7 linked regions of the Zea mays genome follow. The protein of the gene in region 3 binds, or shares a complex with, the protein of the main gene of each other region. Links are inferred from orthologs where the notes say so. Each region holds a gene or a part of one and is shown on either strand. Other genes may lie near its edges.

Region 1 (4,887 bases), on a different chromosome or scaffold from region 3:
CGCCGTAGGCTATGGCGCCGAGGTACGTGCTGCGCCGACGTGGTACCGAGCTCGGCGCCATAGATCATAGCGCCGAGCTCCATTCTGTACAGAAAACTTGTCTAGCTCAGTTGGTAAAATACAAGGCTCTTAACCTTGTGGTTGTGGGTTTGAGCCCCACGGTGGGTGTTTTTTTAATACTTTTTGTCTTAGTCACTTTTTTTGTTGTCCATATTTTTCGTTTATGTCGCTGATTTATCCGTCTTGATTTATTTCTCATCTAGTTTTATTTTTGTGACTGATTTGTTTATTCGTCCAGCTTTTTTTTATCCGGCGAGCACAACAGCTGTATATGCAGTAAATTCTAAAATATATCATCCATGAGACAAGTATATAATGGAGTATACTTTTATTTAGTGCAGAAGAAAAAAAGATGATTATGTGTGCTTCTTTTTACTGGGAATATGTTATTATGTATTTAAAATTTATGTTCAAAAGAACTTAATAAAAATATAATATTTTTATTTGATCACGATTGAAGTAAGAGTGTTCTCATTTGATTTTTATTGTGGTTAGCTGAGCAAACAAGGGGAGAAGTTGACGGCTTATGAGCACTGTGGCACACAGCTGCTGTGCTCGCTGGATAAAAAAATTTGGACGAATAAATAAATCAGTCACAAAAATAAAACTGGATGAGAAATAAATCAGGACAAACAAATCAGCGACATAAACGAAAAATATGGACAAAAAAAACAAATAAGTGACAAAGACAAAAAATATTAAAAACCACCCACCATGGGGCTCGAACCCGCGACCACAAGGTTAAGAGTCTTGTATTTTACCAATTAAGCTAGACAAATTTTCTATACAGAACAGAGCTCGGCGCCATGATCTATGGCGCCGAGCTCGGTACCACGTCGGCCCCACGACATTCGTTTGTGCCAACGCAGCACGTACCTCGGCGCCATAGCCTATGGCGCCGAGCTGTGTTACCTCGGCGCCACAGGCTACGGCGCCGAGTAAATGGTCAAAAATGACATTAAAATTTTCTAGGGTCTAAATGTGATTTTTTTTCCGATGAAGGACCAAAATGCAAAAAATTCGGAACACACGCATACCTACCGTCTTCTCCTACTAGTACTAAAAAGAGAGAGAGATTTGTTTGGCGGAGAGCGAGACAGAAAAAAGTAGTACCATATCTGCAGGTGAAGTGGTCAGGCTGTGTCACTGTCAGTTCCCACTCACTCACTGACGCCGTAGTAGGTGAGCGTGAACTCAACGGCCCAACTCCGAGGGCCGAGCCTGACGCATCGCCACAGTACCCAGCCAATCCGAACAGGACGACGGCCGGCGTGGCCACCGCGCCGCGAGTTGGGCTGCCGGACGGACGGTCGGTCGGCGGGGCCCGCCGCGCGCGGGCTGCAGCAGCAGCTTTTTTCCAAACCGCGAGCGACGAAGTCAAGGGCGCCGGGACCACGTGTCAACGGGTGGGGGCTGGATCACGGCAATGGCACCACCACGCCACTTGGTGTGGGACCACACGTACCTCCAGGATCCGCTGCGGCCAGTGGTAGCCTGGCGACTCCATTTTCTCTTGGTTGGAAAGCTCGGTCACGCAGAAGATCCTGAAGCGGCGGCCCCACCGCGAGGTGGTGCGGTGGGGGACTGGGGGGAGAGGTGGTTACACCAACGGGACGCCATCAGCATCATCGGCGATCGGACCACCACCAAACCAACCCAGCAGCACAGCACCTGCAGGGCTGCAGCAGACACCACTCCAGCAGCCTCTCTCTCTCTCTCTCCTCACCGGCACGGCACTCCACGCGGCGGCAGGAGCACCCACCGCCACTGACGGGCGGGGGGGAACACGCGCGGCCATGGCCACGTCGGCGCCGCCACCGTCCTCCGCGCCGTGGCTGGAGTGGGCCGCGGAGTATACCAAGGCGGCGCAGGCCGAGGCCCGCCCGCCGCCGGAGTGGGCGGCGCGGGTGGCGGCGGCCGCTGCGGCGGCGGGCGAGAGTGAGGACGTGCCCTGGTCCGCGGGGCTCGCGGAGGTGCTGGCGCGAGCGCTGTTCCCCGGCGGCGGCGGCGGCGGTGGCGGGGCTGCCCCGGCGGCCGCCGCTTGGAAGTACGCGGAGGCCGCGCTCGCGGCGCGGCTTGCGTCCCCGGCGCTCCTCCTCGCGCTCCTCTCCACCAGGTGCGGTCCGGTGCTTCGTGGCGTCGGCTTGTGCGTTGTGTCTGTGGCGTGGTCCGTGGCGGTTGGTAGGATCGGAATGGCGGAATGCAGCGCTTAGCTGTCGGGGATCTAAATCGAATCAGTTGCACCTCGAATGCACGCAAGCAGTTTTACGACGTGTCCGGTCAGGTGTTTGCCCGTACACGAGTTTTACCAGGAAGCTGACGTGCTTCGCCCCGATAATTTGAGGGGGCGGAAATACGCTGTGTGGCAGTGTCATGTGTCAATGCATTGCCAAATGACAATGTGGGTAGATCACACCATGGGAGAAATGCCTGTTTTAAGAATATATAAGCAGTTGGACACTCAGTCGGTAGGCTAATCAGGGCTTCACTGCAATCCTCGTCCAGTTTTTTTTTTCAAGAGAAACAGGGTCTTGTAATAGCCAACACGGTTAGTTTGACCTATGTTTTGGGACTGGAAAAGTAGTTAGATTAGCGTGTGGCAAATCCCACTTAGTACTAATTATTTCACTGGCTGGTATTGCTGTCGTGCAACGTGCTTGGATTGTGTGGTGTGTGACCTTATGATGGAGTTAGGACTTTTCTCAATGTTTATTCTTATGGACTTCGTTTGTTCTTCGGGTCCTGCAGGGTAATTCCTCACCGGCTTTCCAGGCCAATGGAGTATAGACTCTACCTTGAGCTCTTGAAAAGACATGGGTTCAACTTCCATCATCAGATGAAAGCAGCAAATTTCAGAAAGTGTGCCTTTCCCCTCTCTGACTGCTCCCTGTATTTTCTTAACACTATGCTCAAGTCAGTGGTCTGGAATGAGAATCAGAGTAATAGGTGTAGTGTTCAATGTAATTTAGCATTATTCTTAATGGCCTTAAAAATAAGCATTTCAGTTTCAGGTGTTTGTAATTGTAATAAGGTTTACACTTGTATATACACCTTGTTGTGTGATGTCTCTGTAGTGGATTAGTGGTCATATCTTAATGGCCTTAAAATAAGCATTTCAGTTTCAGGTGTTTGTAATTGTAATAAGGTTTACACATGTATATACACCTTGTTGTGCGATGTCTCTGTAGTGGATTAGTGGTCATATCTGTCATTTCCAACTAAGGGCCCCAACTTTTATATGATGGAAAGTCTACTTGTCTTGCAGTAATGCATGCAACTTCTCTTGAATTTGTCAAGGCGGCATTTATTGCCGAAATTCTTCTGGAAATTTTCTTATATATCTTTTATACATTACTTATGTTCTTCACTTCCTAATACTTTGCACTGTTATTGCTCTATAACTTTAAATTGTTTTTTGGAAGTAAGAGTGTATGTGCTTCCATGTGGTTTTTAAGCTTGTTCCTTGCACTGTTATCTATTCATGCACTCTATCCCTATAGAAGTCTCAAATGCAATTGAAAAAAGGGCCTGTCTTGCAGTGTTAAATTTGCTGGAGCAATAAGAGATCCTTGCTAAAGCCTCTCTAATGTTTGCAGGATCATGGATATAATAGAGCGGAATCTTAGACTTTCCAAGATATTTGGCATCTCTACATGTGAACCAGGGGTTTTTGTTGTGCATTTCATTCTTTGTATTATATGGCAGTTGATTGATGTTGTTCTGGATGATGAGGGCCTACTAGAGTTAACTCCAGAGAAGAATGCTCAATGGCCAACAAGGCCTGAAGATGTGAGCACATTTGAAGGAACTTTTACTGAACAAAGAACTGAGAAGATCAAAAAGTTACAGAAGATGAACACTGTAACAACTATGGAGCTCATTGAGCATCTTCTTCGCGATAAAGTAATTACTCGTATCCTATCATTGGCACGCGAAAACATGTATGTCTTTTCAACTTGAAGTACTCTTTTACTGAATTGTTTCAGGTCTTTATTTTTGAGCATTTGGAAATGATGAATTCATCTTTTTGCTGATTGGTCATTAGTAATCTGTTTTCAAATATATTAGTCAAATAACAAACTAGATCTTCATCTCATAGGCTCATGACCTCATAAACTTCACTCAAGCTTATGGAGGAAGCCTTGGTTTATTCCTGTTTGTGTGGGATTTGGGTTTGGGGAGCTACAAATAATTGCTCAAGATTTTGCCAGTAACATAACCAATGTATCATAGAATATTCTGTGTATTTTCTCTAATGCAAACATTTAAGATAATGTTCTAGAAGCACTTAGGGTTATGCAAAAGGAAAAAAGTACAACTGTCTATGCTTGTGGTATTTTATTCGCCTTACCTCTTAAATAGCCAAGAAAAGTTTTGATAAAAACGGCAGCCATGGGACTCGAGCTTTGTCATGATCTGATGAACTGATGGGTGAATGTAAACATCAAGTAACAGTAGTTTACTGGAAGTTCGTGATTGAAACCTAGTAGTCATTTTCTGTTCATATAAATAAATGAAGTGATGTTGAAGGGATACTCTCACTGAAGATGCAACAATGGCATATACATGCAATTCCTATTTTATGCAAATTATTGCCCCTTTTATTTAGTAACATTGTCAACAATCTCAATGGTTTCAGGCAATCTCACTGGGGGGCATTTACTAACCGGTTGCACTTGCTTGCAACAAACTCATCTACCTTGCAAAATTCAGCAATATCCTTGGAACCATTTCAGCATTTGATTCTAGGTGATTGTGATGCATATGGTGAAACTAAACATAATGTGCATAAAAGATTCCACCAAATAGTGGCTTCTAACCCTCTAT
Region 2 (4,402 bases), about 30 Mb from region 3:
TGAGAGTTCATGGACCCAAATGGGAATATGGGGAAGTTTACCCCCCCCCCCCCCCTGTGGTTCATTTCACTCTAAATATTTATTTGGTGGACAAGCAATTTTCAGAGATGAAATTGTTAAAATGGGTGGTTATCTTTTGTTGGGGTCTTATTTCCTGATCACCAGGTGCATATACAACATGGTATATCATAGTTTGCCTCCAAGTTACCATTATCAGTATTATGCCAATCAAGTAGCACTATCTGAAATTTTGATTGTGTGGCTGGTATTATCAACCAGAATGGTTGGTTAATGGTTAGTGCTGGAAAGGAACAAAAATGAATCTGTTTGATGGAAGCAGGTAAGTATTATTTGTGATCCCTATGTTTCCCAGTTCCCCTTATATGCCAATTATTCAGTATGCAAATCTGAAATGCTAAATCCTAATTCATGTGGGCACAAAGCAACAGAGTTATATTAGTATCACAGCTTGCTTGATTATTAGTTATCGTCATTAGTTTGCAAAAAAATTAGTAATAATTATATGCTTGGAATTTTAAATACAAACTTCTGGTGCTGATTCTTTTGCGGTTTTGCCAGTTGAGGCCAGTATGTCTTGTAGTCAGCTGTTTACTACAGTTCTTTTTACAATGGCAAAATTTTAACTGTTTTATTTACTTATTTACAGTTCACAATGCGTTAGTTGGAACTTGGACGGTTAATATTTTGTGTCATAGTGCACAAAGTTGTTTTATGAGCCGCATTACTGCATCTAATGTCTATTGTATGCTAGAATAAATTTTGTATCATAGATATATCAGTGCACCTATCTTTTCTGAAACCTTATTTGTCTGCTATGTGGTTGATTGATAATACGATCTCTGTATTTCAGGACCAAGGGAGCTCACTGGTGCTGTTGATTTGATCAGCCACTACAAACTGCTGCCACACCATGATTTCTTTTGCAAGAAACCTTTGCCGCTGGCAATATCAGATACACATTATCTTCACAATGTTGTGGGAGACACTGAAATTCGCAAAGGAGAAGGAATGGAGTTAGATCAACTTGTTCATAATGCATATCTGAGGGATAAACCTGCTTATATTCAGCCCTTTGATATGGAAACTCTGGGGCAAGCGTTCCAACTTCGAGAAACAGCTCTTGTGGATTTGCCTTCTGTAAGATCCTTTCTAGTATCTCACTTCTCTTATGACATTGTTAGATTTGCTCATTGTACTGTTTATAACATATACCATATCAACAGACTGAAAAAGGTATACCGACTATTTCGGGTAAACCAAAAAGTGAGTCCAAGGACAAAGAGAAGAAGCATAAAAGGCACAAAGACAAAGACAAGGAACACAAGAAGCACAAACATCGGCATAAGGATCGGAGTAAGGACAAAGATAAAGACAAAGACAAGGATAAGAAAAAAGATAAAAGTGGCCATCATGAAAAGGTTAGTCCATTTTCTGTATGGTCAAAAACTCTGAATAGCTTCATTTTAAACCATATATACCTTTGATGGACAATGCTCACCATTTGTATCAGAAGAGGAAGCATGAGGGAACAGAAGATTCAGTAGATGTGCATAAGCACAAGAAGAGTAAGGTAGCACACTGCTATTATTTTCTTGCTGATACAATAGCTTTCATAGAGAAAATTTGCCTCTTTGTTTTTAACATGGATGGTCAACTTACGGCAGCACAAGAGCTCCAAAACCGATGAGATGGGGAATGGAGTTAGTTAACACTTCCTAGCTCTACCTCCAATCCTTGTAATTTGCTGTTAAAACTTAAAAGGAGACAGACGGTCTCTGCTATCAAAACCCTGTGCAGAATAGTGGTACGCTTCTTTACTTCCCTTTTAGATTCAGTTTGCTTTTCGTGTAACTTTTTTAGATTCTGTTATTCCGTGGTATCTGCCTTGGATAGCTTGTCTTATTTGGGTGTTTTTTGTCTGATGATGCAAATCTTTTAGCTAGAGGTTCATTGTTAACTTGTGTCTTTAGGCATGTTTGGTTGAGCTGTGGCTTTTGAAAAAGCACGTGTGAGCTGTTGGTCATGAAAACGCTGGAGTCTGGCATGTGAAAAAGTCAAAACTGTTTGGTTGAACAGGTGTAGCTTCTGGAGAAACTATTGAGAGGACCCCACATGTCATTCATAGTTCCCCCACTCAACTCTCCCTCTCTCACTAATAAGAGGACTATGCTCGATAGCTTCTTCCTTCCAGTTCGTGCACTGGGAGGGGCGTCGAGGGCCATGCCTGGGGAGGAACTGCCAGCCTACGAGCGTCGGCCTTGCAGCCACGGTCGGCGATGGAGTGCTGCATCTGTGAGGAAGTCAGGATGCACTCGCTCACATGTGGCGGAGGCTCCCCTGCCAAAGGCATGGTCGACCGGTCGGGAGAGGAGAGGACGGGTGCGGAGGGAGGCTTGCACCTATTAAGTTCTCTATGTTGGAGGATAGGGGCGGGGAAAGGAGAGGGCGAGGGGTGGCGTGCGCCCGTCGCTGTCGGTGAGGCCTCCTGGTAGAGGCCATGGACGGGGGAGGTGTGCGCCCGCCGACAAGTCCTTCCAGGTGGAGGTTAGGGGTGGGGCAATTAGAGGAGGGCGGTGGGTGGAGGCGCTGTCCTCCGGCTCTCGCTGGTGAGGCCTCCTAGGCAGAGGTCAGGGGTAGGTGGGGGGAGGATAGGGGCGAGGGGATGTGTTCACACCCATCAGTCGTTGTCGTTGAGCCCTCGGGCTGTGGATGACATGCTGTGGTGGTGGAGGATGTCGAGGACGATGACGTGGTGGAGGCCACACTTTCTTTCTCATGGAGAAAGTAATAGAGAAAAACAAATGAAATGGTACACAACATAACCAGTAGCAGGTGGGTAATTTTCATGAAAAGTTGGAATGAAGACGGGTGAAGTATTAGTTGGAATGAAGACGGGTGAAGTACTAGTCAATAACTTCTTTTGTTTGTGAATTTGGGTGAAAACCAACCCCTGGCTTCTTTGGGAAGCCAAAGCAGGTTGAAAAACCCAACCAATTGGGACCTTAAGCCATTTTAAGAGGCGAAATTCCTATTTTCTAACATTAGTCTCATCTGATTTTCAGCTTCATCTCTACAATATCTAAATATGCAATGGCATTGACAGCTACTCAGATTCTATGTGGGGCTAATTTGGTGACCAGAGAAATGGAGGTGATCCATGGGGTGAATAGCAAGGCCCATGGATCCCCTCCATTTCCCTGGTCACCAAACCAGTAGGGTGTGTTTGGTTTCAGGAATGAGGTGGTCCATCTTCTCATTCACTTTTTTATTTGGTTTGTAGAACCCAACCAATTAGGACCTTAAGCCATTTTAAGAGGCGACATTCCTATGAGCTAACATTAGTCTCATCTGATCTTTAGCTCCATCTCTACAATATCTAAATATGCAATGGCATTGACAGCTACTCAGATTCTATGTGGGGCTGATTTGGTGACCAGGGAAATGGAGGGGATCCATGGGGAGGAATCCCCCTTGCTATTCACCCCATGGACCCCCTCCGTTTCCCTGGTCACCAAACCCGGTAGGCTGTGTTTGGTTTCAGGAATGAGGTGGTCCATCTTCTCATTCCTTTTTTTATTTGGTTTGTGGAATATAATGAGTTGATCCATCGCACCCCATTCCTCACAAGCTAATAATTAGTATATACATGTGGAACGAGTTGATTCCACTGAAATTTATTTTATGAATTCATCATGCATCACCTCATGAACCATAGGGTGACTCCACAAACCAAACTCACCATTAATTGAACTGTTCATTAATTAGTTGCTCGTGCGTTACAACACTTTGTATACATTATATAGATAGTCCTTGCTTAAATGAGATAATTATTCGGTCACCATATAGATTCTCAGAATACACCAAAAAGAGACAACCGGGAACCAGGATAGGCTCAACACATGCACCAGCAGTCGGCGCGCCTCCGACGCCTCACACGGATCTAAACACGCGGCGATACGGTTCTGAGGTCGTATCACACGGATTGGGCTGCGTCTTGTGGTGCACCTAGGATTTCACCCTAGAGATATCGTGCAACAGTGTGGCGAGGAAAGAGGCGGAGACAACGAGCAGCGAGGTATGTGGTGTGGGGTGAGACAAGATGAAGTTTTTTCTCTTATTTTTTTCCACGCTCGCGAGATTAGGGATGGTGATGGTGGAGTTGTTGGACTATAGATGGTCAAATGGGTCGTGCTTGACGGGCTAGCTCGAGACACGAGTCATTTAATAGTGTTGAGGCCCGACACGTGAACCGTGTCATGCCTAGGCCTCCTTGTCGACCCCGCAACAATTTTAATAGTGCATTGAGAGACCCCACTGTTAATAGTGTGTTGAGTTGTCACTGGTATGCCGCGATCTCAACTAAAACCGAGCCATCATGATT
Region 3 (4,108 bases):
CCCGGCTTCGGAGGAGCCTCCACGTCGCCCGACCTAGGGCACATGCCCGCCACGTCAACAGGAAGCGCCATCATCACCCTACCCTGAGCCGACTCGGGCCGCAGAGAACAAGACCGGTGTCCCATCTGGCTAGCTCTGCCAGATAGGCAATGATGGCGCCCCGCTAGCCCTGTGACGACGGCGGCTCTCAGCTCCCTTACGGAAGCAGGGGAACGTCAGCAAGGACCCAACCGCTCCGACAGCTGTCCCTCCGCCAGGCTCCGTCGCTCCTCCGACAGCCACGACACCACACCAGCTGGGTGCCAAGATCTCTCCGGCTGCCACATCGGCATGTACTTAGGGCGCTAGCTCTCCCCCGCTAGACACGTAGCACTCTGCTACACCCCCATTGTACACATAGATCCTCTCCTTACGCCTATAAAAGGAAGGACCAGAGCCTTCTTAGAAAAGGTTGGCCGCGCGGGGACGAGGACGGGACAGGCGCTCTCTTGGGGCCGCTCGCTTCCCTCACCCGCGTGGACGCTTGTAACCCCCTACTGCAAGCGCACCCGACCTGGGCGCGGGACGAACACGAAGGCCGCGGGATTTCCACCTTTCTCACGCCCGTCTCCGGCCACCTCGCTTCCCCTCTTCGCGCTCGCCCACGCGCTCGACCCATCTGGGCTGGGGCACGCGGCACACTCACTCGTCGGCTTAGGGACCCCCCGGTCTCGAGACGCCGACAGATGTCCTAGAGGTTGACAATGGAGCGCGAGCATATCTACCGAGTAGGGCGCTTTGTGATGATCGATAATAGATAGATCTACAAGAGGGATTTATAGTTGGGTTAGTTTGACTATAGCAAAATAAGTCTTATCCCCTCTCTATTTTATTAGACGAGAAACGGGGGAGAAATAAATCTACGTACGTGATCCACGACACGCGAAGATATTTGGATTGAGTTAGATTAAAAAAAAAATACTTCTTTTTTATCAGAGACGATGTGAAAACTTAAAAACCAGTGCTTTACGTAGCAGAGAGTGCTTCAGAGAAGAGAAGAGAGAGTGACTATATTATTTTTAGGAAATAATACTCCCTTGATTTTTTTATTTGTCGTCGAACAAGTCAAAAATGAATTGGTGAGCGTCATATATAAAAAACTAGAGGTAGTATAATTTTAAAAAGGATTAATAAAAGTAAAAAAATTCCAACCGCACACGGCACCTCCTCTCGTCCGTTCGCCGCCTGGCTCGCACCGCTGACAGTGCGTCAGTCCAGGTCGATACTCCCTCTTTCCAAGATCCGGTCATTCTCTCTCGGGGTCGGCTACCGCCGCCGCCGTACGCCAGGTGCCGACTGCCGAGACCTTCTCCGATCTGTTTGCCGGCGAAGAGCGCCCGCCAAGTATTCCCACCCTCTTCTCTTCCCTAGTTCCCTGTCTGCTGTGCGAAATCGAGTTCTCAAAACTCTAACCTCAGACTATTTGATTAATGTGTGTACACATGTACACCCTTGTTCCTTTAATAGATCTGCCCCTGGTTTCAACCGATTGAACCCCGATGTCCGACGTCGAGAACCCTGGCGTGGGTGGGAAGCCGCCGCCGTACAAGGACCCTGACAATGGGAGTCAGCGATTCCTACTCGAGTTGGAGTTCGTGCAGTGCCTCGCCAACCCTACCTACATCCACTGTACTGTACTGTCCTCCATTCTCTTGTTTCATCTCACCTTGTTGGGATTAGCTAATCTGATGTTGCACGCATCTATAGAACGTTTTCCTGTACCGGTTTGTTACCAATTTTGATAGGGGCTGTGCTGCTAGTAACTAGCAATCCATTGCAACGGACTGAAAATTTTTGTAGAAGTGTGTGTTTGTCAGTAAGTCCCTGCTTGAGAAGGGAGCTAGGAGTGCTTAGGAATTTTTAGTACTAGCCTAAATCCCATTCTCCCCTATTCAAACTGGTCTCGTCTGCATGGGCCTCATGAGCGGTTTCTTATCAATAGGATATGATTGCTAAGCTAAGGCTGTGATATTGTTAGTAGTGTTGCTTGATATCATCATTTTGTGTGCCTCATGGCTCCTTGTTTTTTACTTGAACTTTCTTGTTCAATGCACATCATGTTTGGTACTGCATGGATGATTTGAATGCTCTTTCTTTTCCCAAATAGATCTAGCGCAGAATAGATATTTCGAGGATGAGGCATTTATCGGGTACCTCAAGTATCTAAAATACTGGCAGCGACCAGAGTATATCAAATACATAATGTGAGTGATACCATATTCAGTGGTTTTTTCTGCAACAGAGGAAATGGCTTGCTCATTGTTTTTGCTGATGATGCAGGTATCCACACTGCCTTTTCTTTCTTGAGCTTCTCCAAAATGCCAATTTCCGAAATGCAATGGCACATCCAACAAACAAGGTGATCTTTTGGCCTAGAATCACACGTTCACACTTGAGCACCGTTTTTAGCTTTTGTTTACCGTCTTGCAGTGTCATCCCTTCTTTCAAAACCTAGCTGAAGTTGCTCTGTTGGGCCATATTATTTTGACTTGCTTTCTAGAACCTATAAAAAACAGAAAGTCACACAAACTTGATATGAGTACTTTTGTAGAACTATGCAGCACGTATACTGATACATGTATCGGTATCACAAGGATACTGATACACAGATACAGCAATTTCCTAAAAATTCCCATTCATGAATACATTTTACTATTTTTTAAATAAAAGGATAATAATGCATATTAAAATGGATAGCAATCTAACAATGAAACACCACAATCTACTTAACTATTTAAGTTCTAATTAAAGCACAGCAGGTCTCAATTCTCAAATACAGTAGTCTCAAATTTAAGAAATTAATAAAAGGCATTCAGGTTTGCAATTCAGGCTCGCACCAAGTTCCTATTCCGCATTTGTCTTGCTTGTTTCATTCTCATCCACAACATTAAGCTGGAGATCACCCAAACCAAAAGACACAGCTTGCAATTCAGGCCCATCAAGGGAGAGGTCAGGCACTTCAAGGATGCCAATACCACCAAGTGAATAAAAAAATCTCCTCCCACATCCCACATCATTGTCTCTCCTGTCTTATATGCATCAGTTCTTTTTGGCAGACAAAGACCAAATCTTCAACATGCTCTGAGTTATGGCATTTCTCTTGACACTATGGATAAAGCTATAGATGAGGCTGGTTGGCTAAGCAATTTGGTGGCCAAATTCATCAATAAGGGAATAGGCTGTCCATGAGTTGTCCACAAAGTCATAGGGGAAACAGCCAATCTATCATAGATTGAGTCAGGATCATTAGATTCTTTTGAACAACTAGAGAACCTTGAGTACTCTTCTTTTACTTTATTCAATTTTTCCAGCACGCGAAAGAACTTGAAGCAATTCATCCTCATCTTTTTATATCTCTTTATTCTTGTGGGGTGGTTCATGGCTAGGAACGGGAATGGGTCGGGTCGACCCATTGGGTAGTCGACCTGACCCACAAAAGTAAGGCCAATAGGTCAAACGTCAAAGGGCCGCTTCAAAGTTTAAATTGGCTGATAGGGCCAGAACCTGTTGACCCAATGGGTAATGTAGGTCTACCCACTAGTTGCATAACAATATTTTTCTTGAATTTGTTGGTCTTCGTTATTTTTTGTTTCAAATAAACACGATTAGTCATAACTTATAGACACGTCTATGCTTGGAAGTATGTCGAGGAATATCTGGAAGTATAAATAGTTAAAATACAAAATTGCATTATTAATACTTTGTGCATCGCAGATCATAACCAAAATTCTAAAAAGTGTTAAGCCATTCATGATAACTAGGTTTGAACCATGCATGACTCCCAGCAGAATTTTAGAGTTTTGAACTATGACTAAAATATCATTTTGGACTATGACCAATGTTTCAACCATGCATGCATGCACATACAGGGAGCAACAGCCATTAGTTGGATCTGGCTATGGTGCCCAGCAGTAGCCCTCAGCCCACTCTTGTTTGCAACTGCAAGTAGGCTGAGGGAGCCGCCACTTGGCCACTTGCATTATTTGCACCGGCTAGTTACCTGGTCCGGAACCTTGTGCCCAGCTGCGTTAGTGTCCTGGCGGCCAGGCCAAACCAACCAAGCTGCAGG
Region 4 (4,553 bases), on a different chromosome or scaffold from region 3:
TATATATATATATATATATATATATATATATATATATATATATATATATATATATATATATATATATATATATATATATATATATATGGGAGGTTTGGACCCATTCCTAGGCGATAGCGAACAGATCCTATGTGATTAGATGGATAACCACACACGTGATAAAAATAATCGTCCGAGTCAATCTGATTGCGGAGTGCGGACCGTCTGGGCCTTCAGGCCGAACCGCCCGCCACTTTTGGCGTTCGACACGGGCTTGCCCGATTCGATTGGGATGAGTGAATTGGCCCCGAATCTTACCAGTATATTCCTCGGAGGAACCTCTCTTGGTTTCTAAACCAAACTACTGTAAAAATGTGATGGAATGGAACAGTTCCATCTCGGTTATTTCTACGCCACATAGATTAGATGTGATTGAAAAAAAATAGAGATTTTAACTTACTATAAATTTAAACTCATCCAATTATCTCCAATCCATATGAATTGTGATGACAAGGATTATGTCCTTAGGTCTTGTTCATTTTATAGCAAAATCATATGGATTAAGGTGTATTGAAATGGATTGAGAAAGATTTTGACTAGTAGTGGATTACTGAACAACCTGGCAGTGCACCTTTAGGAACGGAGATAAAACACAAAGTGTTTTTTTTCGCTTGCTCGTGTATTCAACGTAGCAACTGTGCCACTTGGCTCGGCTTTTTGTCAGGAGAAGGTTCTGTTCGAGCTGATCCAGGCACAAATGGAGTAAAGATAGAAAGGAACTTGCGAACATGGCGGCCATCCAGAGTAGGCACATAACCCGCTAGGCTGACTCCAACAGTTCACCCAAAGTTTACCCATAAATTCACCCAAAGTTTACCCATAAAGACAGGAAGCCGTTAGCATTCTATGTCGTTTTATGATGGCAGAGACTCATTTTGCACAACAACAGAGACCATGGGGCAAGTAAAGGTACACAATCAAACATAGATAAAGTGGGCTTTGTTCGTGGCTTCCAACCTTAAGAAACCAACAAAAGGCGATTGCTAACCATGGCGTCAGATTCTAAGCACATGTACACAGTTTTATAGGGCATAACATAACATTTGGTCACCTAGAGGTTCATGATCACTACAAGGTAAACCGCAGAATCGCACTCCTCACACCCTTTCAAGCTCCGTGATGTGCTTGCTCAGCTGCTCCTTCAGTTCCTTTTGCCACCCTTCAATCAACTTCTTGTGCTTGGCAATGAGCTCAGACTTGCTCTTCAACTCTTCCTCCATTGTCGTAATCTCCTGTGCAATGCAAAACCGAACATGCCAACGAGATGATAAATATTGGGTGGGTATATGTATCCCAAATTCCTAATTAAGACCAGCAACTATGCACCTGTGATTCTCTCAACTACTGCAAAGGCATTTTTTTACAGAAACGTGTGCATGAAAAATTCATGAGCACAGAAGGTGTTAGGTGTATGAATGTGATTGGGTGTTCCTTGGGAACATTACTTTGTAGAAGTGACGATTCAGGCAGGCTACCAGTTCTTTCAATAATGAACACCTCAACTTCGAGTAGAAATATAGGAGTCTTTGTAATAAAGCTTATACTGAGTGTAACAAACTGCCTGTAGCAAGTAGCACTATGTGATTTATAAAGTTGGCTATTCCTAAGTATAGTGCCAACCACAAATGATCACAGTACTTGGGATGATCATATCATGTGAAATGTCAATCCTATCACCAATGAAAACTTTTAAGGGAGTGTTTGGTTTGAGGAGTCACTCAATCCAAAATGATGTGGTGTATAATGAGTCCATTCCTCAAATTTGCTGGGATGACCTTATTTCTCATATTAGTACTAACTAACTATAAGGAATGACTCCATTCCTTATTTCATTCCACAAATCAAATAAAAAAAGAGAAGTGAGAAGACGATGGACTAGCTCATTCCTCAAACCAAACACTTTATAATTAATTCATTCTCCATAACCAGTCCCCAATTTAATTTAACTACTATCCTTGCCGCACTCTTAACTATACGAGGATAAAGTAGAAATATACCTTTCGAAGCATCTCTTCTGCAGATGGCGGTTCCTCACGCTGCAGGCTGATGAAATAAGACTGGAGCTTCTTGGCAGCCTCCATGAAATCCCTTGCGTGCCTCTCAACATCAACTGCCCAATTTAGTAGAGACTACAACACTTAGATACCCTGTTTGGCAGGAACGAATGAGAAAATGCAATTAAATTTCTCTAATAAGCATTGCACACTATTAAGTCGGTATCTAAAAATGTGATTTACTTCTTTAATAAGCATTGCAATGTGATTGCCTGATTGGTACAGTTGATACAAGTTGAGTTCTCAGTCTAGGACCTAAGAAACCAATCGATATACAATTTCCTGGGCACAAGAAAGATGCAAAATCTTCCTCTAGAAAGAGCAAGATCCCTTTATCCATCCCGTAGGCAAAACAACGAACATGTGGCGCGCGACGGCGCCATTAACCGACCGAACACCATGAGACTTTACTGGTGTCGAAGCCGTGCCGGATCAAAGTGAAGCTACCTCTAGAGGAGGAGAGTGGGGAAATGATGGGGGTCGGCCGTACTCTGGTGGGAGGACTGGAGGGAGCGGTCGACGGCCTGGAGCTCGCGCGCGGGGAGGCACGGCAGCAGCGCGGCCTCCAGCGCCGCCACACACGCCAGCATGTCCTCGAGCCCACCCGCCGCGGGAGTCTGCTGCGTCGGCGGCGGGGGCGGCGTCTGCGCTGGCGACTGCGACGGCGTCGGCTCAGCCATGACGGAGAATGCGGAGAGAGGACCCGGAGAGATTGGGAGCGCTTGGGCCTCCGATTTGCTATTGACAAGGAGGAACTTTCCGTTGGATTGAAGACGCACGGCTAGGATTGGTTTACAAATGGCGTGTTCTGCGCCTGGATAGGCATAGGCTCGAGGGCTGAGGCTGCCTTGGCTGAAGGAAAGCGCATAGTTTGTTCAGGCTGACAATTTTCTGAAATATTTTTTCTTTTTTATAATAGCACACTTCTTCATATTTTGGTGCCTAAAATTTAGGCAACACTCTTATATACCACTGATTGCTAATAAAGGACCATTTGGATCCTTTTATTTTCAAAGAATTGGAATTTACTCCCTCCAGTCTTCAAATATTTGATGTTTTGGACATGACCTCATATACCAAGGAGCTATTAAATAGGGTTGTTATTTTCCATAATACCCCTAATAAATACGCTTAGATTCCACAACAAACACATGAAGATGTTAGCCTAGATGGTTGGGTCCTAAAGAATTTTACACTAGGTCGTGAGATCAAACCTTCACGATAAGAATAATTAAGCATATGTGGAAGAATGTGTGAACCACTTATATCAAGGGTATATTAGTCCAAAATAAGCTTCAAATGCTTCAACATCAAGCATTTGCTAGTCCAAAATAAGCTTCAAATGCTTCAACATCAAGTATTTGCATCCAAAGTGAAAATCACTTAAACATCAAGTATTTAAAGACTGGAGGGAGTATTTAATAGAGTAGGTTATTTGATTTGAATTTGATATTACACCACTTTCCAAAGTTTAGATATAAACTCATCTCAAATTCATAAGATGGGGTGGAAATTGATTTTATGTATTCAATTCTACGTTTCTACTCTGTAATTTATAACACACTCTTCTACTCACTCTCCTATAGTAGAAATGTAACATATAAATATCTCTCAAATATGGCCAACACTAATATACAAATATACTCACTATAAAACCATATTAGTTTAATTGATTTATGTCTAAATTACAATTATTATATTAGAATTCAATTCCAAGGGTCCAAAGGGGGTCTAAGACTATAATTTTATTGTTTACCTTTATGTTATAACCTATATTTTTTCCCTTAGCTAACTACTAAAATAATTGCAAAATGTTAATGGTCTTTATGTCAACACAAATCAAAATCTACCAAATTTATGATTTTGTTCAATAGATATTTTATTCTTAAGAGTAAAAATGTAGATTATGTCTATATAAATTACAACACACTAAAAACTAAAATTCAGGTACCTAAAATTTAGTAAATCACTTAAGGGCTTATTGAGAAGTAAGAAATTTTAACCCCTCGATCCCCTCCAATCCTGTTTCTCCCAAACAAGCCCTAATAGTTGTAACACCCTAATTTTTGGTTAGGACATGGAACTAAATACCATACCTCATTCCTTGTGAAGTTGTTGAGGTCCTCTTGCATTGCCACCACTCAGTCCGGATCTCTTAGTGCATCCTCTATCCTGTATGGCTCAATAGAAGACACAAAAGAGTAATGTTCACAAAAATGAGCAACTCGAGATCGAGTGGTTACCCCCTTGTGAATGTCACCAAGTATGGAGTTGACAGGGTGATCTCTTTGAATTGCTTGGTGGACTCTTAGGTGCGGTGGTCTTTGGTTTTGAATTTCTTGATCATCTTCCTTGTCTTGATCATCTTCATCTCCCCCTTGATCAATGTCCTCCTCTTGAGGTGGCTCATCGTCTTGATCTTCATCCTCTTCTTCTTGAGCCATTTCCTCATATTGAGTT
Region 5 (3,114 bases), on a different chromosome or scaffold from region 3:
GGTTGCCAAAGCCCTAAACAGCAGTGCTTCTGTAGATGAAGCATCAGCATCAAATGTCGTTATGCTATCCGGGTTCAGTATACCCAAGCTCGTCTTGCAGATTGTTACTATTGAAACTGTACTGAGAATGGATAAGCCAAACAAGGAGCTTGCTGTTTTGAAGGACATAGCATTCACAGTGTACAACAAGGCACGACGAATCCCACGGGCTGTCTCCACAAGCGATATGTTCCAGTCACCAACTTATTTGGGTAGATCTCAGTCCACAATGATGCATGTTACATCTCCTGCTCCTACTCTTTGGAAGGAATGTTTAGTTCCTCGAATGTCTGGGCCAACTCTCTCTCGAGAAACCGATTTTGATGCATCCATGAGGTCGGCAACATGGGATAACTCATGGCAGCCTGCTCGTTCGGGAGGACTTCTGGACCCAAGTAAGCTGCCTGATTTATGTGCTCAGGATGATAGGAAATATGCCTTTGAGCCACTTTTCATACTAGCAGACCCTGGGTCTGCCGATCTTAATGCTTTAATGGAACCATCAAAATCTGGAGCAGATGCATCTGGCAGCAGGGTATATGGCTCAATTTCAGGAAGTAACTCTGATAGTGGAGTGAGCCCTCTACTCGACGTATCTGAGAGTGACAGTGCAGCAAGTCTTCATTGCTGTTATGGTTGGACTGAGGACTGGCGATGGCTAGTGTGCATTTGGACAGATGCTAGAGGAGAATTATTGGACAGCTTAATATTTCCTTTTGGTGGTATTAGTAGCCGCCAAGACACTAAAGTTCTCCAAAGCCTTTTCATCCAAATTCTACAGCAAGGCTGTCAAATAATGTCGTCTTCACCTGAGGCTAGCAATATGAGACCACGAGATGTCATAATAACTCGTATCGGAGGTTTCCTTGAGCTTGAAATCCAAGGTACTCACTTGTTTTTATCAGGAACTGAGATACCTTCTGTTTCGAGACTAACGCGATGATCTAATATGTTTTGTCCGCAGAATGGCAGAAGGCAATATACTCTTATGGTGGCAATGAAGTGAAGAAGTGGCCTGTGCAGTTACGGCGATCCATACCTGAGGGTATTCCACCTAGTTCAAATGGTCCTACGCTCCAGCAGCAGCAGCAGCAAGACATGGCCTTAATTCAAGATAGAAACATGCCTTCCTCACCAAACCCTCTGTATAGCCCTCATCCAAAATCAAGCTTCATGAAAGGTGCACTTGGACAATCTGGCAACAAAAAACAGATCCTTGTGGAACAAAGTGGAATGGACACTTCAAGGGGATCACTGCACTTAGTTCGTAGCATCAGTTTGGTTGCAGTTTCCCAAGATCATTCGTTGCATCTCACATGCCAAGCAGATCTACTGAGCAGACCTGCTTCAGCTGGTAAGCACCTAGACCAACACAGATTAAAAATTCATTTCAATGTTTTTCAAGGAGATCAATGGTAAAAGATATTAAACTTGGAACACTTTTTACAGGCGAAGGGAGTCAAGGCAGCAGTGGCCCTTGGAGTTACCTGGAAGGTTTCACTCCAGTGAAGTCCATTGGGTCAATGTCAGCGTCACACTCGTACCTTCTAGTTCCTTCGCCAAGTATGAGATACCTCTCTCCTGCAACATTACAGCTCCCGACATGCCTCACATCGGAGTCACCGCCGCTTGCCCATCTACTGCACAGCAAAGGGACTGCGATTCCTTTAGCGATGGGCTATGTCGTCTCGAAAGCCGTCCCACCTGTTAGGAGGGACTCTGCACAACTCACCAAGGATGAACAGCCCTCTGTTCTCTCAGTCAGCATCATCGATCACTATGGAGGCAGCAGTGGGACTGTTCAAGAGAAGATGAGCCGAGGCGGCGGCGGCGGCAGCAAACAGGCAAGGAACTTGAGTCAGGAGACAACAGGTCGTGAGTGTGAGATGGAGATGCATAGTGTGCTGGAAGCTGTGGCCGCGGAGCTTCACTCTCTGTCTTGGTTGACAGTAAGCCCGGTGTACACAGAAAGGCGCACAGCACTGCCCTTTCACTGTGACATGGTCCTAAGGATGCGGCGGCTTCTACACTACGCAGATAAGTATCTATCTGAACCTAAGGGAGAGACAACTCACTAATTGTCATGTACAATTAATATCTAGCTAGGTAGGTATGTGAGGGCACATTTGACGAGCTTTGTAGACTGATTTTGCAATAACCCTGATAACTTACAGGTGGATGCTGTAACCTTTTTCTCTTTTTTTAGGTCTGTATTGTTTGTCGACACAAGATTTGAGATATGATTCCGTTTGTTGACTGTATTAATCAGAATTACAAGTACAGCGTTTACTGGGATTGCCGTGCCCTACTGCGACGACGTTTTTTTTTCCTTTAATCAGAAATACTTGTAAAATCAAAATCATCTCTCCGCTACGGCTATTGCTCACACCCCCTGGCTGGAATAGGCAGCTTAAAACCCAGGTAAAACTGACAGGTCCGCAATCCCCTTGGGCAAACTCTCAATCTTCCTCAGCAACGTTAGCCGGTTGTTGCGAACTCTCTCGTCTTCCTGCGCATAATATACACCATCATCACTCTCACTCATCAGCACAAGTTAAGTTTTTCAAGGGCCTCACAAAACTCACCGCCATCACGAAGACACTATTGAAGAAATCTTCTAGGGGTTGTATCAGGATAAGAGAAGCATCCACAAAGGTCTTAATATCAACACCTACAGAATGGGTAGTTGGAGGAATCAGACAAATGAACATTTAAATTGAAATGAAAAATGGATATGAAAAACATGTACCAGGATGGATCTTATCAGCAACCTCCAAGTAGGCGCTCCACAAAACTTTCTCTTCATCTTTCTCAAATACGTGTGGGTCAACCTACACATAAAATCAGAGGCAGGAGAGAAATACCGCATAGTCAAGACTGGTGATGGGGTAGTTGCGAGTCAAAAACTTCACCATAATTTGAACTGAAATCACAGTTTATGAATTATGATGGTACATGTTTAAAACAGTACCTCCAAAGCAGACTCAATTTCTTTTCCACGGATGATCCTTGTTGGCCTTGAATACGCTTCAACGATTTTTTGAAATGTTTCTGTTCTCGAAAATGCTTCCATCT
Region 6 (4,810 bases), on a different chromosome or scaffold from region 3:
GTATTATATATTTCATGGCATTTATTTCAATTTAACTTTGCTATGACTGGATATGCAGAGGCATGTCTCTTTTGTAACAAGAGAAAAATGCAATAGTGCTTACAGGACTATGCTAGAGAGATGTAAGTAGGTTCTAATCTCAAGAACTGATTTAAGAGTTTGTGTTCCCTGATTTTGTGTGCACAGCAGCACAAGGCCTGCAAATGTAGATTTAAGATCTCGTACACCAAGTATAACTTAACTATGCTCTTAGGTTATTAGTTTATTGTGTTTAAAGTTCAGAAGTTCCAGGTCTTAATATATTCTTAAATTAATCGACCAGATACTCAGATCCTTTTCTCACATGATACGGAGTAGTATCATTCAGCATGTTACATTTATCAAAGTCCGGTATACTTATGGAGCTAATATTTTATCTAGCTCTATTTTCTGAATTTGGCATTGGTTACAACCTTTAAAGTTTCTGTACAGATTATCTCATTTCAGCTCTATTTTTTAGGTACACTGCTTATATTGAGTCAGTGGCCAAATTTTAACAATCAGTTGTGGTCTTAATCCATGTTACTGTTGTTGGTATGATAATGCACTTTGCTCACCATATCATCTATGTTTTTGGTATGATAATGCGTTAACGCGTCTTAATCCATGTTGGATGTAAACGCATGTTTTTTCTGCTAATGCTTCCTCTGTCCCAAATTATAAAACATTTTGGCATTTCTAGGTTCATAGCTTTTGCGTATCTATACATAATATATTTCTAGGTGTGTAGCAAAAACTATTGATCTAGAAAAGCCAAAAAATCTTATAATTAGAAATGGAGGGAGTAGTTCATAGTCCTCAGCCAATTCTCTTGAGTGCAGCCATCAAATTGTGAAATTGTACTTTGTCTACAGATCCTATAATATCGATACAAACAGATTATGACATCTCCACATTTCTGCTTACTTCCAATAGTTTATCAGCATACTGTCATGTAGCATAGTCAAATCTTTTTTTTCTGCACATAATAGATTAACATACATTTGAGATACAGTGATGGGCATATCTGGTTTCTTGGTAACCATCTTACTAAATTACTGTTCAATTCAGTTCGTGCTTTTGTGAAAATGACTAGTGAATATACTCTGAGAACAATGAAAACCAGTACTGCTTTGTTAACTCAAATATCATGAATCTGTAGGGACCATAGCAGTGGTGAATAAAACTTTGGATCTATAGAACGATAAAGGAACTAAGGTGCTGTTTGGTTTATATGTTTGTAATGTAATAGGTAACAAATAACGTTAAATCATGTTTGTTTAAGTCCAACTGTAATTGGATACCACACTACAAATTGATACCAGCCTATTCAAACTTGTTACCCCTGGTAATCGAATGCAAATCATTACCGTTACCATTTACGTTACATTTTAGGAACCAAACGGCACCTAATTTAAGTCGTGAGTTCGAAGCTCATCCCTTTCCTAGACCCCACTCGTGTGAGAGCCTCCAGCACTGGATCAGCCCTTTTTTAGTTTTTTTGTCTATCTCAAACCAGGGATCCCAAGTTCCCAACCTTATCTCTTCACTCAACAAAAGAGTTGACTCAAAATCAAAAACTGCAACAACCAATCCCCATACACTGGCTGGTCCAAACAGGTACAGACTTAAAACTGGCGCAGCATTATACCCCCAGGTTTTTTTTTTCTGGTCATCATGTAATTAGATCTATATACCTCTCATGCTTTGTCACGACACTATAATTTTTTTTTATGGAGAGCAGCATTTTAGCAATCTGTGTAAAGATTGGGCAATAACCAATGGGCATAAAGACATTAATGCTGAGTAGTAGTATATCTCAAAATGGAAAGGTAAAAACAACAGCCAGCAAATCGCAATGATTTAGGTGCTGTTTGGTTCAAAAAATGTAACGCAAATGGTAATGGTAATAGTTTACGCTCGATTACTGGCGGTAACAAATTTGAATAGGCTGGTATCAAATTTTAGTACGGTATCTGATTACGGTTGGACTATAACAAACATGATTTAACGTTATCCATTACCCATTACGTTACAAATATATGAACCAAACGGCACCTTAGTTCATGTTCTTGCAAATATCAACACGCAAGGTTAATGCTGTCACTCATAGAAACACAGCAACGACAAGTTCTTTGTTTTCTATTGAAGGAAAAATGCTACAATTTTCATATGAGAAGGGCGATGCTACTAGTTTAATTCAGTAACTCCATAGTCCATACCTACTGGGCACCCTCCTCCGGGTGTTGCCCTCCAGCGCCGGCATTTGGGGTAGCGGCACCGCCACTGCCGCCGGTCCCTTGAGCAGAGGCGCCGTGCTGGAGCTCGATGACGAGCCATCGGACGGCCTTGCTCATCTGCTCGAGGCGGACGGCGCTGATGGGCTTGATGCCGGGGGCGGCAACGGATCCGGCGGAGGCGGACCCCGTGGCCTCGTCGACGAGGCACTCGGAGCCGATGCGCTGGCGGATGGACTCGACGAGCTCTTCGGCGTGGTCGCAGGCGACGCGGAAGATCTCCCAGCGCTGCTTGAAGGCCTCGAGCGCGGCGTCCGTGGCCGCCGTCTTCTTCTCGCCGCCCGACTGTACGCGGGCCTCCACCACAGCCGCCGCCGCCGCCATGAAGTCGTCGTACGCCGCGCTCAGGTGGTCCACAGTCGCCTCCATCCCTCCCTCACCCCCAGCTTCTGACGATCCAATTCGGCCTCAGCCCCCAATTCGACACGACGACCCCGAAACCGAAAGCAAAGCGTGAAAACAGGAAATGCCGAAATGGCCCAATCGATATCGGGTCGAGATCAGGATGGGCCTTTTTATTCGACATACGCATCTGGACCAGGGCTAGAGATTGTAGGCATGGATTTTTTTCTAAAAAAATAATATTGTTTTCCCAGACCGTATAGTAAATAAATTCTAAAAATTACATTATTGGACGCGTGTTGTTGGGAAGCTCGCGATCAATCGTGCGGACAGAACGTAGGAAGTGGCGGATCCAGAGCTACTATACGTGGTCTTTTTTTTACAAGACTCTCGTTTATCCTAATTGTTTTAGAATTAGAATCATCTTTCTTCTGGTTCTTGATGAAAAATTTATCCATCCTATTCTTATAAGCATGGGATTACTACCAAATAAATAATCAAATCAAAATTTCAAATCAAACTTAAAGCAAACAATAGCACATGTTTCACCTTCACTGCTTGTCTGCTTCACAGATCACAGCTTCACCTTCGTTGCTTCTGCTTCGCAGTTCGCATGGGACGTCCTATTCCTGCATGATCTGTCACAGATTAGCAGAAACTCTCTTGGCCTCCTATTCCTTCATCGTCCCAAACTCCCAACAGAACAAGGAACCCCCAACAGAAAGCTTGGAGGGGCATTGGCACACGCCGCACACCGCGCATGGCATTATGGCAAGGCCATACATCACTGGCTGTCTGGCTCATCACTCCAATGCAAGAACAAGCTAATAGCTAAGCACACTTTCTTCTCAGCGCGTGTGTACAAACCTGAGCTCCACGAATTAGCAGAAGGAGGGAGCGCGGAGTGGCGGCTGGACAGCGGCGTGGTCAAGGCGGTGCTCCGGGCGGGGCTAGCGGCGGTGTTCCGGCGGTCCGGCCTCCGGGCGAGCGACGCTGCGGGTTGCAGCGGTGCTCCGGGCGTCGGGGCGTGGGCGGTTGGAGGCCTGAAGCTCGTGGGTAGAGGGAGGAGGAGCGACCTACGACTGGGAGGCTGTTCACGCGGTCGCGCGGCTGGAGCTGATGGGCTTATTCGCTGATTTTTGGGCCGCGACCGGGCTGCAGCCCAGGCAGCCCCAGCCTCGGTTGGAGATCCGCCACTGAATGTAGGAAGAGCTGAGTGGTGTGTTGGCTTACTGCTACGATTGTCCCTATTGATTGTGACTCTGATTAGATAGTTCTAGACATGTCATCTGGCTTGACATGTAACCAAATGGGTGTGTTATTATCAGTGAATCACTCTATTAATACACAATACGTAGTATATTAAACGTTACCGTACATTGAAAGCAATTGTTGGGGGTAAGCCTTTGCAGGAGGTCCTTAATTAAAATCAACTAATCTTAACCACTTTATCATTTATTCCGAGAGCAACCAATTCATGTTTGCCGAAGGTCGCTAATGCAGGTTAAAAGAGGAACAGAAGAAGCTTTGGCTTAAGCGTGCAGATAAAGCATGTCGCCAAACTCGAAGCGAATGACAAGAAAACGAACAAAGGACTCACCGATGTGTGCACCAAGGCTTTGGAAGACAAAAACGATGATTCCCCAGGCAAATTTTGTGGTTACTTGTATATGGTTTGAGAGCATGATTATAACTTCATATGAAGTTGTACATCGAATCGTCACTATAAATATAGACACAATGTCATACACAGGACACGTTGCCGGATCGAAATCGCTCCGCCTTCAAAGCTTTATTACTTTTCTACCTTCGAACTGTTGTCTTAAGCTCTCGAAGGTATTATTGTAATCATTTGTAATTAAGTAGAAATAAGAAAAGAAGTGTATTAGTAATGTCTGACATCAATCATCTTTACTTATTTTACTTCTCTTAAACCTATTATAATGGTGGTCTTATTCGTTCGATATATCCTTTATCAAGGGATAAATCGAAGGAACGAAGATCCGGTTTGATGAGGACATGAACACCAACTACATGATCAAGACAATCAATGATAGGGTTCTAAGCTAAAGTGGAGTTGAAATCCAATTTATTCGCAAGTCTGGTTTGGGGTGCAGGAGTAGCCCTCACAAAAATAGACGCTCGAGTCACAC
Region 7 (4,879 bases), on a different chromosome or scaffold from region 3:
TTGGTAACAAATACAGCAATTACCATGAGTACTGAAACTTCAAGCATCAATAACTGGTTCTGGTTCTTACATGTTTAAGACAGGACTACAATTACGTTGCAACTCAACATACATCTAGTTTTTGGGTGAGATTCATAATGCATATGCACATTTGTTACATATAATGCATTAATCCAAAACAAATTACAAAAGAAAAGGTCAACACATTAATACACATTGTTGACTAACTTATTTAAAATGGTCATCAACAGCAATCATGCTATAAAAACATGTTTCCAATATTTAATGTATTGCAGCTGGTACTGGGTAAACCAGGCAATCACCAATGGTGCTGATCGAGCAATATTCCACCAATTTCTTTGAAATTCACAAAATAACCAGCACCATACAACATATAAAATTAGCAATATTAGGTCTATTAAAATGGTTCTAAATATTGTAGATCGTAATGACAGCACTGACACCGGTATCAACTGGAAAACTAGGGCTTTTTAAGGAAGGCAGCTCATGCCGGTCTCCACTAAACCGACAGTCCCTACTGGCTAGTAACATCAGTTATTACGTACTAGTAACCCAGCAGTAAAAACTGCCAAAACTAGCCAAACTTTAGACACTCTTAACAACTAATAATTGTGAATTAGAAAACAAAACAATGGCTCAGTAAGTCAGTGGTAAGGCACTAAGGCCGCTCGGTGCGACCGTGCGAGCGCTACTACCCGAGTTTGATCCCTGACTGGGGCGACTCAGGTGTCACACGGGATTTTCATCAGAGGGGACTAAGCCTCTATGTGTGTGAGTTGCTCAGTAGGCACGTTCCAAGACTGCTTGGGCAGCCTCATCCGTGTTTGAGCATGAGGACAACATGTGTGCACCGTGCACATTTGAGTTCTTATATGATATGCTAGTGCTTCTGGCAACAACAAAGCCTTTTAGCTCCAATCAAGTTGGGGCAGTCCCAAAGAAAGCCTTTTAGTCCCATGCCTTCTATATAATATGGCAATGCTCCTGTTGATGTTTAAATAAATGTGAATTAACTTTTTAAAAGGATTTGCCTAGAGACATGAATATTTATAGACATTTTATGAGACAACACAAAAACCTGCAACAGATCTACTATACCCCGTCTTATTATCCATTTCTGGAAAAAATTCTTAATTCTTGTGCAATTGAAAATTTTATTGGATACCAAAACAAAGTAATTGAGATTCATTAGCCAGAATAGTTCAATTTAACTTAGTAATTATTATCAAATTCAGAAGACCACTAAGAATAAAGCATATGAGTCAGGAAAGAGAAGTAACAGAACTTACAGTAGACTTTGAGCTTATTGTTCCCGATATGGAGTTCAACAATTGTTGGCACCTAGCAAACTGGCTGGTCAATTCTTCAACCTAGATATATATAAAAAGCTTCTCTTAATACAGTAGCTATTGGAATTAGGATTTAGCAAAACGCTGGGAAAAATATGGTGTTTAGCTGGTATTCTATAAGAAATCAGCATGGAAGTACACAATACATAGTAGTAATTTTAACATGCTTCTGCAATTGCATAATTGCATAACTAAGGGTATGTCTTCCACTGGCTTGGTTTTGGCTATGGAAAACTGAACCGTGCAGACCCTGTCACCCTGGGCTGGTCCCAAGCTTCCTGTGCACCACCAACACTAGAGCATTGTTTGTGACCTGTCTCTTCTCTGGGAAGTGATTTAAGAATTACATCACATGTCAATTCAAACTCTGTATAAGAATATTCAGGCTCCACGCCTAGAAGAAGCTACAACTATTGTTTCTGACAAGATCATGCACTATGAGTACAAGAACATTGATCCATAAAACAAATGAAAATTAGTAAATGGTGATTCTTACCAGTGCATCGAAATTTTGGTCCCTTGTTCCTGTACCAATAGCATCGGCTAATCTTGTAACCAACTAACAGAGAACAAAATTATGCAAAGAAGAAAACTATCAGTATTTCACAATACATTCTAGTACTTTCTCAAAGAGTAAAAGGAAGAAGAGCCATCATAAAAGTGGAAACAAAGATTTGCTACTTGCAAAAAAGCCATTGGAAATAAGCCTAAATGTTAGATGCCAATACAGACATGTGATTGCCAGCTTAAGAAAACCTACAATACCTAAAGTGCCCTCATATATATTTTTAATTTATGTATTTCTTGTCAAACCAACTCGAGTGATTAGAATCAACATTTTCTCTGGCCATTACCAATGTTGCACGCTCTGACGCTTGTATATCGTTCATGTACACCTATAATATGGCAATCTTCACTACCGGCCAAAGTGACAAATCATGGTGTGAAGAAATTGCAATCGCTGAGCAACAAATACAGGACAAATTAATGACAATCTTTAATGACTAGCAAAATCCCAAGTTCAGAATTTTGAAATTCCGGTGCACAAAGGGCACACTCCAACAACATCAATGACATCACTACAAAAAGAAGGGTTCATTTGAGGGTATGTATCATCTATGCTATCTTAAACTAAGAGCAAAGGCCCCCAAAACACAAAACTCCACACAACTCCAAACACTCCGTTACTTACATGTAGGAGGTGGAAGTGGGAGGCAAGAGAGGCGTGGTGATGCTGCTGCGGCTGCGGTGGAGACATCAGTGTCTGCTGCGGCTGTGGAGACATCAGTGCTGGCTGTGGCTGCGGTGGAGACATAAGCGCCGGCTGTTGCTGCGGCTGCGGCTGATGGTACTGAAGAGCGTGGAGGTGGTGGTCGGGCTGCGGGGACGTCATGAGCCCACGGTAAGGATCGCCGTACTGCTGCTGCTGCTGCTGCGGGTGGTGGTGATCCATCTCTATCCCCAGTTCCCAACACCTGCGGGCAGGGGCTATTGGAAAAATCGAAGTTATTAGTAATTTAGTAGGCATAATAATACATGCATATACTTGCAATTACTCCTGAATCAGATCCGATTCTTAAGCTAGGTTTTGAGTGCTCGGTTTCGCAAAGCAGATAGGGGAGAGGAGGGACGGGCATACCTAGTGGGTGCTCGTCGCCGGTGAAATGGGCACGACGAAGGTCTGGGCACCGGCACCTGACGGCGGCGGCGGTAGCCTAGTGCTCGCCGGGAAATAGGGACCACGCGGGGCGTGAACTGTGAACGGCGGCCAGTCCGGTACTGTTTGGCCGACGGGGGCGCTAATCTCGGAGTACGGTGGCTGTGTCCAGCTGATATGGCCGTCTAAAGAACTGTTGTTGTACGATAGTCATACCTTTGTTTGTAGCGTTGGAGTTGAAATAGTGGATAGATATTAGATACGAGAGGAGATAGATAGTGTTTTTTAACCTTATTCATCTATAGATGGCTAAATAGATTGTCTGTCCAGCATTAATGGTGTTATTAGACACTATTAGTAAATGTGTCGTGATGTGTTAGTACTATTGTCTAGACACGGCACTATAGTGTCTAATCATGTCATGCCGACACTAACATCTAGTAGGGTTCGTGTTAGCCCACTTTAAAAGCTCAAAATATATAGATGATTTTTAAGGTTATATATAATTTTAAAACTTGAATATGTGTACTATTATAAAGTGGGTTGACTCTTCTGAGGCTCCCTTTTGGTAGGATTTTTGCATCACCGGCTTTCCTTCTGGCTCATCTGAAAAAAATAGTTTGATCCTTATTTTTAGTAACCCTTGGAGAACACTCTATTTAGTTAAAACACAACTACTCCTATTTTCATGGGAGGGTGAGTGACAAGAGAGAGTCGAGTCAGAGAAGCCTCCTTTTTAGGCTCTGGGCTTTCCTCGGTTTTTAGGGACATCTCCTTCCTATTTTTATGGAGAAGCCACGAGAGGAGCCCACCATTTGGTAGCCTTTTTGAAGAAGCTGTTGAGGGGCCATTAAAAGAGCTCTACCAAATAGAACTCTACTATGTAAATTGTCATGTACCTAGGAACAGGGTAACCAAAAGTAAGCCCACAACCTCCTTCCGGCCCATTAGCCGACCAACCCTCTGCCAAGCAAGCCTACGAGGCGGAGCGGACGACCAAGTCCTCCGTCGAGCAAGTTTGCAAGATGGAGCGAACGACCAATTCCTCGTCGAGAGGCAGAGCGGCTGACCAACTCATCGACGAGCAACCTCGCAAAGCAGAGCAGCCGACCAACTCCCCACTGAGCAACCCTTTGAGGAGGAGCGGTCGACCAACTCCAAATTGGGCAACCATACGAGGCGGAGGTCCCAACCTAACGCTATTAACCCGTGATGGCTACGACAAGACGCGTCATCATCAACCCACGTCCGGACATATGTGCAACGTACCGAAGGGGCGCCAGGAGGTCACTATCGACACGACTGAACGCCACCACGTACGCTCTAAGGCGTATCCCCACTGCCATGTGGGGTCAGTCAACCCAGTCATAGAAAAAACCTCAGCACTGGAGCCTCTACAGTGACCCGTATACCGGGGAAGGCAGCACAATGCGCCATACAAAGTATATGCCTACACACACTAGGTGACGCGTGATCGTTATGAGGGCAAAATTCTTACATGAGGGCAAGTTTACATGAGGGCAAAATTCTGCAATTGGTATCAATTGACAAAATTCTTTATGAGGGCAAGTATTATTTACTTCCTACATGCTTTTAATATCTTCTTTTTTCGGTGGTTGATACCAAAGGGGGAGAAGTTTAGGGACCAAAGCAATGAACAATGTATCAAACATCAAACACCACCAATTTAAAATTTTAAAATCTACAAGTGGCTTTTCAAGTGGTTTTGGTTATTTGGTCCAAAAATAGGAAGTAAGTGAATTATGGAGTTAGGGGAGGCTTAAGTCCATAATCTCACATTGAGGGGACAAACATGCATCCTAGCAAGTAGATTGCATACTTTCATTCAAAT

Evidence for each region.
Region 1: Mediator of RNA polymerase II transcription subunit 31 (region 3) and Mediator of RNA polymerase II transcription subunit 33A share a complex: the UniProt entries of both Arabidopsis thaliana proteins name them as parts of the mediator complex. The link is inferred for Zea mays from reciprocal best matches to the Arabidopsis thaliana genes MED31 and RFR1.
Region 2: Mediator of RNA polymerase II transcription subunit 31 (region 3) and Probable mediator of RNA polymerase II transcription subunit 19b share a complex: the UniProt entries of both Arabidopsis thaliana proteins name them as parts of the mediator complex. The link is inferred for Zea mays from reciprocal best matches to the Arabidopsis thaliana genes MED31 and AT5G19480.
Region 4: Mediator of RNA polymerase II transcription subunit 31 (region 3) and Mediator of RNA polymerase II transcription subunit 28-like share a complex: the UniProt entries of both Arabidopsis thaliana proteins name them as parts of the mediator complex. The link is inferred for Zea mays from reciprocal best matches to the Arabidopsis thaliana genes MED31 and AT3G52860.
Region 5: Mediator of RNA polymerase II transcription subunit 31 (region 3) and Mediator of RNA polymerase II transcription subunit 13-like share a complex: the UniProt entries of both Arabidopsis thaliana proteins name them as parts of the mediator complex. The link is inferred for Zea mays from reciprocal best matches to the Arabidopsis thaliana genes MED31 and GCT.
Region 6: Mediator of RNA polymerase II transcription subunit 31 (region 3) and Mediator of RNA polymerase II transcription subunit 32-like share a complex: the UniProt entries of both Arabidopsis thaliana proteins name them as parts of the mediator complex. The link is inferred for Zea mays from reciprocal best matches to the Arabidopsis thaliana genes MED31 and MED32.
Region 7: Mediator of RNA polymerase II transcription subunit 31 (region 3) and uncharacterized protein LOC100276155 share a complex: the UniProt entries of both Arabidopsis thaliana proteins name them as parts of the mediator complex. The link is inferred for Zea mays from reciprocal best matches to the Arabidopsis thaliana genes MED31 and MED9.

Annotation. Positions count from the first base shown.
Region 1 is NC_050097.1:165,233,927-165,238,813, reverse strand, and holds the start of Mediator of RNA polymerase II transcription subunit 33A, read left to right. Parts: upstream 1-1,708; 5' UTR 1,709-1,856; coding exon 1,857-2,176; intron 2,177-2,808; coding exon 2,809-2,919; intron 2,920-3,656; coding exon 3,657-4,001; intron 4,002-4,699; coding exon 4,700-4,887. UniProt on the Arabidopsis thaliana protein: Component of the Mediator complex, a coactivator involved in the regulated transcription of nearly all RNA polymerase II-dependent genes.
Region 2 is NC_050096.1:177,740,231-177,744,632, forward strand, and holds part of Probable mediator of RNA polymerase II transcription subunit 19b, read left to right. Parts: intron 1-871; coding exon 872-1,158; intron 1,159-1,244; coding exon 1,245-1,439; intron 1,440-1,531; coding exon 1,532-1,591; intron 1,592-1,685; coding exon of another isoform or gene 1,686-1,730; exon of another isoform or gene 1,731-1,971; intron 1,972-3,083; exon of another isoform or gene 3,084-4,402. UniProt on the Arabidopsis thaliana protein: Component of the Mediator complex, a coactivator involved in the regulated transcription of nearly all RNA polymerase II-dependent genes.
Region 3 is NC_050096.1:207,962,187-207,966,294, forward strand, and holds the start of Mediator of RNA polymerase II transcription subunit 31, read left to right. Parts: upstream 1-1,308; 5' UTR 1,309-1,383; intron 1,384-1,506; 5' UTR 1,507-1,538; coding exon 1,539-1,668; intron 1,669-2,146; coding exon 2,147-2,243; intron 2,244-2,319; coding exon 2,320-2,398; intron 2,399-4,108. UniProt on the Arabidopsis thaliana protein: Component of the Mediator complex, a coactivator involved in the regulated transcription of nearly all RNA polymerase II-dependent genes.
Region 4 is NC_050103.1:84,915,886-84,920,438, forward strand, and holds Mediator of RNA polymerase II transcription subunit 28-like, read right to left. Parts: upstream 2,920-4,553; 5' UTR 2,774-2,919; coding exon 2,584-2,773; intron 2,150-2,583; coding exon 2,037-2,149; intron 1,272-2,036; coding exon 1,137-1,271; 3' UTR 952-1,136; downstream 1-951. UniProt on the Arabidopsis thaliana protein: Component of the Mediator complex, a coactivator involved in the regulated transcription of nearly all RNA polymerase II-dependent genes.
Region 5 is NC_050104.1:30,394,684-30,397,797, forward strand, and holds the end of Mediator of RNA polymerase II transcription subunit 13-like, read left to right. Parts: coding exon 1-923; exon of another isoform or gene 924-1,003; coding exon 1,004-1,393; exon of another isoform or gene 1,394-1,401; intron 1,402-1,488; coding exon 1,489-2,117; 3' UTR 2,118-2,218; downstream 2,219-3,114. Other genes in the region: glycine--tRNA ligase, chloroplastic/mitochondrial 2, read right to left, coding at 2,450-2,548, 2,625-2,710, 2,789-2,870, 3,011-3,112. UniProt on the Arabidopsis thaliana protein: Component of the Mediator complex, a coactivator involved in the regulated transcription of nearly all RNA polymerase II-dependent genes.
Region 6 is NC_050101.1:142,578,126-142,582,935, forward strand, and holds Mediator of RNA polymerase II transcription subunit 32-like, read right to left. Parts: upstream 2,804-4,810; 5' UTR 2,685-2,803; coding exon 2,241-2,684; intron 998-2,240; 3' UTR 785-997; downstream 1-784. UniProt on the Arabidopsis thaliana protein: Component of the Mediator complex, a coactivator involved in the regulated transcription of nearly all RNA polymerase II-dependent genes.
Region 7 is NC_050097.1:1,837,155-1,842,033, forward strand, and holds the start of uncharacterized protein LOC100276155, read right to left. Parts: upstream 3,175-4,879; 5' UTR 3,010-3,174; intron 2,859-3,009; 5' UTR 2,824-2,858; coding exon 2,563-2,823; intron 1,930-2,562; coding exon 1,867-1,929; intron 1,392-1,866; coding exon 1,311-1,391; intron 1-1,310. UniProt on the Arabidopsis thaliana protein: Component of the Mediator complex, a coactivator involved in the regulated transcription of nearly all RNA polymerase II-dependent genes.